2 linked regions of the Callithrix jacchus genome follow. The protein of the gene in region 2 purifies or fractionates together with the protein of the main gene of each other region. This does not show direct contact. Links are inferred from orthologs where the notes say so. Each region holds a gene or a part of one and is shown on either strand. Other genes may lie near its edges. The genes, in order: UQCC2 and UQCC1.

The links.
Region 1: the proteins of UQCC1 (region 2) and UQCC2 purify together in Homo sapiens (co-immunoprecipitation; 3 studies listed by BioGRID and IntAct, counting the BioPlex papers as one, with this or other methods). This does not show direct contact. The link is inferred for Callithrix jacchus from reciprocal best matches to the Homo sapiens genes UQCC1 and UQCC2.

What each region holds. Positions count from the first base shown.
Region 1 is NC_133505.1:41,994,036-41,997,853, forward strand, and holds part of UQCC2 (ubiquinol-cytochrome c reductase complex assembly factor 2), read right to left. Parts: intron 1,704-3,818; coding exon 1,629-1,703; intron 793-1,628; coding exon 723-792; intron 1-722.
Region 2 is NC_133506.1:3,967,295-3,971,112, reverse strand, and holds part of UQCC1 (ubiquinol-cytochrome c reductase complex assembly factor 1), read right to left. Parts: intron 967-3,818; coding exon 858-966; intron 1-857. UniProt on the Homo sapiens protein: Required for the assembly of the ubiquinol-cytochrome c reductase complex (mitochondrial respiratory chain complex III or cytochrome b-c1 complex). Involved in cytochrome b translation and/or stability.

The sequences.
Region 1 (3,818 bases), on a different chromosome or scaffold from region 2:
TAAGTAGCTGAAGGCTGCCATCAGAAGAAAGACACATTTCTAGATACCAGAAGGAAATGTTTCAGGGCCATGCCCTTCCAGAAAAGGTTAACCTATTTTTGCATATAATATACTTGGCAACAAAAATAGTAATTTTCCAGTACCTGCTGACCTCAGCCCTGGCTCTCCTGCCTCCCTCCTTAGGGACAATGGAGATAGGAGCAAGGAAAGGACGGGCTTGGCAGGGTGTTTCCTTTCTTGTTCATCACAGTCTATCAATGACTCGAAAACATACCTAGTTAAACTCATCTAAGCCACAGACCACGTCCCCTGGGTCAGATAACTCTTTGGCGGATATCCCCAAACACATTTATTGAATGGCTTTTTGTTTTAATTAAAACCTTCATTGTTTATAAAGCCCTCTTAGGACCATAAAAATTAAATTATTTTCCTTCCATCTTGATTTCAACTACTTCCATTTGGCAAATATGTATTCCCCTGTTCCCTGCTGCCCAGCCTTGAATTTAAAAGCACTAAAGATAGATTTCATTTTTAAATAACGCCTCTGACCTTCTCCACAGTATATGGTCAAAATGCATGAGGCCTGTAGCTTCAGAATTTCCTCTGGGCTGTTCTACAGGACTTTCCATCAAGCAAAGCTGTCTTAGACAATTCCCCTTAGCCACTCAAACTCCGAGAATCATCTGCAAAGCAATGAGAAAAGGCAGCTGTGCTTTCATTACCTGTGGACAGGATCAGCTTGTACTCTTCCAACGACAGGCCACTGAAGCTGGTTTCTCTGGGGCGAGGGTACTGGTCACAGGGGCAGAGAGGAAGAGAAGGGAGGGGAGAGATCAGCACACAAGCCCTGCTCTCTAACTGCGGTTCATTTGGGCCCTGGGCAACCAGAGGCCAGAAGAGGAGGAGGCCTAGCAAGAAGAGCAGCGCCACCTTGAGGTCAAGACTTGGCCTCGCAAGAACCAGTACAGTCTCCAGGAGGCAGCTCCCACTTCATCGTGCCCATGAGTCCTCTCTGGAAAACGCAGGTATGGGCGGGGCCCGATTCTGCATTTCTAACCAGCTCCCAGGTGATGCCCAAACTGCTGCTCATGGACCACATGTTAGTAAGTAGGATTTAGAAAAAATTCACTTTCCACATGGGCATATGGCCACATATATTTGTGGAGTTACAGAACATATTTTTCAAGTCTGGGAAAAACCACTCTGAATGGAATTTAACAGTAATCACGTTGGGGCCCAGCTCTGGAAAAGGAGGGCACATTCCCAATCATCCCATCCCCACCAGTGCGGGGAGGTGTCACTTCCATCAGAGTGGATGGGAAAATAGGTATAAAGCCAATGGCTGTCAGATACTTCCAGGGCATGCACTGGCATATCAAATACATGGCTTCTATTCAGAATTGGTTTTCTTTGTTTTTTTTTCCCTATTCCCTATATTCACAATTTTAAATAGCTTTTATTTAGATGACCTAAAAGCCTCTACCAGGCACCTCTGTTCGCTTGGTTGAAATTACTGGTTTCATTTGAAAACAGCAAACCCAATTCTTTACAAAACATTATATAATCAAGATTTTCACTCATTAGTTGTCCTGTCAGAAAGCTGGGGGTATGCAAGGTGGCCCACTCACCTTGTGTTTGTAGTAGTTTGAATGGAGTCGCGCTAAGCTCTCATACATCTGATCACAGGCCTCAGGCTCTGCAATCTGAAAAGCAAAGAATCCCCAAGGAGGTAAGCAAAGGAGTCCTGCCTCCCACAGTGTCTGTACCTTGAGGAAAGACCGTACTTAATAAGGCATTCACATGAAGCAGGCCTGCAGCTAGCACTGGCTTCCCCACTCTGTGGGAAGCAAACCTGGACTACAGCTCTGCTATTAGAAACTACTTTTTGGAGGCATAGCTCTGCCTCATCAACTCCCCAACCTGCAGAAGAATCAGATCAATTAACCAGCAAACAAGCATTTGTTGAGCATCTGTGACTTGTAAGCCACCACACCAGCTGCAGCAGGAGATGCCACAATAGAAACCTAAGGTTAGGGGTGAGCCTAACAAAGCAGGTGCTGGGTAGGGTGGGCTGCAGGGATTCAGTCGGGGAGTCCCCACATGCTCAGGTGGTCAGTGCATGAAGGAAGTTAGATGATGCAAGGTTCTGAAGAAAGGAGAGGGGTCAGCAAGCAGAAGCAAGGGCAGGCCTTCCTGGGGGAGGAGATGCCTTCAGCCAGGAAGAGGAGGCAGAAATCCTGTAGGATGCTTCAGGCCAGACCAGGAGATTCTTTTTTTTTTTAAATTGACACAGAATCTCACTCTGTCACCCAGCCAGGCTGGAGGGCAGTGGCACAATCTCGGCTCACTGCAACCTTTACCTCCCAGGTTCAAGCGATTCTCCAGCCTCTGCTTCCTGAGTAGCTGGGATTACAGACATGCACCACCACACCCAGCTAATTTTTGTATTTTTTAGTAGAGATAGGGTTTTGCCACGTTGGCCAGGCTGGTCTCGAACTCCTGACCTCAGGTGATCTGCCCACCTCGGCCTCCCAGAGTGCTGGGATAATAGGCATTAGCCACCATGCCTGGCCTTAGATCAGATTCTTTTGGGAAAGACCAAAAAAAAAAAAAAAAAATCTGAGTTTGCTGAAACTCTACAAGAAGGAAAGAAACACGAAGAAGGCAACATTTAAGATGAAATGGGTGAACTGTGGAGAACCAAGACGGGACCCCAGTTAGGTCTGCTAGAAAGGAGATGGCCCAGAACACCGAGGCCTTGCCATAGAAAGGGAGAAATAAGTAAACCTGGTGCCAGAGACAGTGGTGCCCCTGCTGGACATTCTCAGGAAGACAGGCAGCACACAGATGAGCCATGGTCTCTTCCCTTTCACACCTTTTTAAATTTTCCCTTTTCTCTGTCCTTGCTATTGTTTACATACAGTTCTTTCCCTTTACATTTTCCTGCCAAGAATTCTGAAAAGATCCCCAGAACAAAACTTTCTCTTTTACATTTTTTTCCCCAGAATTCAAATGAAGGATTTTTTCCCTAACTTAAATCCTTCCTTGGAGAAGGCAGAGCATAAATAAAGCAGTAGTAAAGCACTTTAATAAGCAGCTCCACTTCTGCTTCTCTGTGCATGTCAAATGAGGTCCCCACTTTACAGCAAACAAAAAAGACAATCCATCATTTAGTTCCACCTGATCCGTTCCTGGCTTCAGGCTACACATCATGAGAATGTTCAGCTAGATACACCAAGAGAGGAAGGATTATGGCCTAAGGAGGTGGCCAGTGTAATAATCAAAGTCATTATCTGAGTGGACAGAACGAATGGAGAAGTTTGAGGCTCGTGCCTCCTTGCTGCTGGTCAGCTCTTCCAGGGAAAGTCCAGCTAGAAAGGAATTCTGCACGCATGCTTTGGATGAACACACGTGGAACATTTCTTCAGCAGGGCATGCATAACCAAGAGCTAACACAGAAGACAGAAGGACAGGAAGCAAAAGACACAAAAGGAAAAAGAAAATTATACTGGCACAAAGTTTTCTGTGCACAACAATATTTAGTTCAAAAGAAAACTGCATTTCATCTTTTGCTTTCTTTCTTCATACTTGTGTAGATGTGCTCACATATATACATATATGTATATGTGTGTGTGTGTGTATCTATCTATATCTATATATATATATATATATATATATATATATATTTTTTTTTTTTTTTTTTTTTTTTGAGACAGAGTCTTGCTCTTGTCACCCAGGCTGAAGTGTAATGGCACAAGCCTTCTCTTGATCTGGGCCCCACTCAAAACAACCAGCTTTTCAAGTCAGTTGGTAAATGG
Region 2 (3,818 bases):
TGTAACTTTTATAATATGTCTATAAACTTTGTTTACTTGTCAGTCCACAGGGAGAACTTTGCCCTGTAATGAAAGAAACCAAATTAACCCATTTCATGACCCAGTCATGGTTCTACTTTGAATGCTCCCAAGCTAGGAGGCAATGAAATGAGAATTAACAGGGAACTACAAGCTACTAAAACATGATCTACGGGCTGCTAAAATACACAATAGAAACAAAGGAAGATACTATGATCTGTATAACCAAACATATTCTAGTGTTTTGGTTTCATTTCTCTATTGTCATCAGATTCCATTTGACACACACACACACACACACACACACACACACACACACTATATATTCCCCTTTCTCAGGTTAATCATTAAATGTACCAATGTACATTTTCAGTAGGTATCTTACCAGACTCTTCTAGGCTGCTAGCGATCAAGGAGCTTGATTTCAGTTCGTGAGGACAGCGCAGGCCCCTTACCAGGGCCTTCCATCAGAACGAATTTACAGGACTGTTTCAAATATTGCACTGGTGTCAAAAGTATAATATCCTGAACTGGATTATCATTTGATTCCCCCCATTCACCAAATCCATCCCTCCTATCACCATGATTTGGGCTTTAAAATCCCATCTCCATACAAGATGACTTCACACTAGCAAATCACAATAATGTGTACACATAAAGTATCTGGGGAGTATTTTCTCCACAGAGGCAGAAAAAGTGACTTTAGCTGAACTGCCACTTGATATCAGGCAGCATTTCACGGAAATCTAAAAGCAAGCCCATTTTAGAACAGATAAAATTCCAAACTCAAACCCTTCACTGGAATTGTCCAGGACCAGAATCTAACAGCATTCACTTACCCCCATGACTCTGCCACGCTGCTGAACATCCTCCCACATAAAATGAACTATGATACGACACATGTACTTCCCACTCCGGCCTTCCTGCTTCATTCGGACTAGACACATCCTGGGTGGGAAGAAGACAAAAAGAGTCACTGGCTGTTTGCCTTTTTCATATCACACATTTCCACTGAAGTTCTCCTCATGAAAGAGTGAGTTTAGCAAAGGGCACCAAATCAAACTGGAAGTGAACTTATTTTAAAAAAGAACAACAACAAAAAAAACTTTCACTGAGATATAACAAAGATACTATTAAGTGCATAAATCTTAAGTGTACAGTCTGATGAATTTTTACATATTATACATATACCCACACAAGCACCACTCAGATCAAGACACAGATTATTTAGGGCACCCCTAAAGGCTCCCTCATACCTGGAGGGAACCACATTTTGTTGTTAGAAGATAAACAAGTCTGAATCCTTCATTTTACTGATGAAAGCAGGAGTCCTAAAGAAGAAAAGTAATTTGCCCAACACCAGAATCTGTAAAACTGGGTATACAACTGTGCCGCCCAATACAGTGGCTCCCTGTGGCTATTGAGCACATTAAATATGGCTCTAGTCAAAGCTGAGATGTGGCACAAATATAAGATTTCAAAGATTAAGTTCAAGAAAGAGAATATAAAATATCTCATTCATTTTTAATACTGCTTTCACATTGAAATAATATTTCAGATATACTGGCTTACATAAAACCTATTATTAAAATTAATTTGTTACTTTTTACTTTTTCAAATGTAGATACTGGAAAATTTTAAATTACACACATGGCTTGTGTTATATTTCTGTTGGATAACACTTGTCCAGAACACAGATCACAGAAAGTAATTGTCAAATTGTTTCTCCCACTACAACGTAAGCTCCAGTGAAGATAAAGATCAAGTCTGGTTTCTGTCAACATTTTATTTGCAGGGCTTAAGTACAGTAGGCACTCAATATACACTTGCTGAATAAATAAATGAATAAACACCACAGGGCCAAGTTTAGGGCCCTAGACCATATTGCCTTTAGTCAGGTCAAAGGGCTTTCTGCTCAAGACCTCACATAATCTAAACGTATAAGAATTATATTTTATTATATATAAGAATATAAGCAGCATCCCTAACTTTTTATAATTGTTTCTAATCTCATGACCATTATTCATTCTTTTTTGTTTGTTTTCTCCTTTTTGAGACAGGGTCTCATTCTGTCACCCAGGCAGGAGTGCAGTGGCACAAGCACAGCTCACTGTAGCCTCAACCTCCTGGGCTTAAAGGAGCCTCCTGCCTCAGCTTCCTGTGTAGCTGGGATCACAGGTGTGCACCAACAAGCCCAGCTAATTTTTTATTTCTTTGTAAAGACAGAGTCTCACTTTGTTGCCCAGGCAGGTCTCAAAGTCCTGGGCTCAAGACTTCCTCCCACTTCAGCCTCTCAAAGTGCTGGGATTACAGGTGTGAGCCACTGTGACTGGAACACCATACTTATTTTTACTGTCTTTCATTAAATAGCTTAGTAAGCAGCTACAATAGGATTACTCACCTAAAAGACAATGCCTGTCATAATTATGAAACAGTTGATTCAACCTGACAATTCTACCTCCATACATAATTGATCTTGCCAATTAAAATCCACCAGCAATGGTACAATGAAATGATTACAGCTTGGCCTGTTTCAACATCTCTGTTAATAACTAAGATGGAGAAAATAAAACATATTTATCAAATTTGCAGCTGACAAGAAGCTGGGCAGGAGAACAAATGTGCTAGATGACCCAAACATGAACCAAAAATACTTCAATAGATTGAATCTAACAAGATCAACTTAGCAGGGATAAATTCAGGATCCTGTATCTGGGTCTAAAAGAACAACTGTAAGAGTACAACACAGATGAGTCACGTACCTATGTGTGAAAAGCCTTACATGCTTAAGTTGACATTATATGCTCAGTAGGAATCAAGAGGATAACAATGTTGCCCTCCAAATTAATGTGATTTTAGATACATGCAAATATAGTATCGTCCATGTGTAAAGTGAGACTTTTGTTCTACTCAGCACAAACCAGAACCTATTTGGAATACTATCCACAGTTTTGAACATTATTTTTTAAATTTTTTTATTTTTTCCTTTCAGTGTTATCAAATGAACATTATATTTTAAGAGATAGGAGGACCAGATGTATCTTAAGAAGACCAAAAGATATTTAACCTGGAAAAAAGAGGAAAGTTGCCTTAGACATTGTAAAAAAGTGATTAAACTGTTTACCAAAGAGAATCAGGCCAGGCCTAGTAGCTCACACCTATAATCCGGCATTTGGGAGGCCAAGGCAGGAAGATCACTTGAGCCCAGATGTTTGAGACCAACACAGTGGGACCCCTATCTCTATGAAAAATATAAAAATTAGTCAGGTGTCATGACGTGTACCTGTAGTCCCAGCTACTCAGGAGGCTGAGGCAAGAGGATCCCTGGAGGACAAAAGGTCAAGGCTGCAGTGAGCCATGATGGTACCACTGAACTCCAGCCTGGGCTATGGAGTGAGACCCTGACTCAACAAACAAACAAAACCTAAGAGTCAGAATCAGAACCAATGGGCAGGCCTTAGAGGGAGAAAGATTTACTCGTCATTGAACAGCAAAATCAAAAGCTTACTAACAGGAATGCCTAAGGTTTTGTTTTGTTTTGTTTTTTAATTTTAGAGACACGGTCCTGCTCTGTCACCCAGGCTGGAGTGCAGCGGCACAATCATAGCCCACTGTAACTTCAAACTCTTGGTCTCAAGCCATCCTTCCACCTCAGCTTCCCAAAGCCCTGAGATTATAGGCATGAGCCACTGTACCTGACCTGAGTGTCTGAAGATTTGATTAATGAAACTGACAACCTCAAAAAGTAAGGAATTTGCCTGTCACTAAGAGGTGAATCAATACTTGGTGGGAACTTAGGT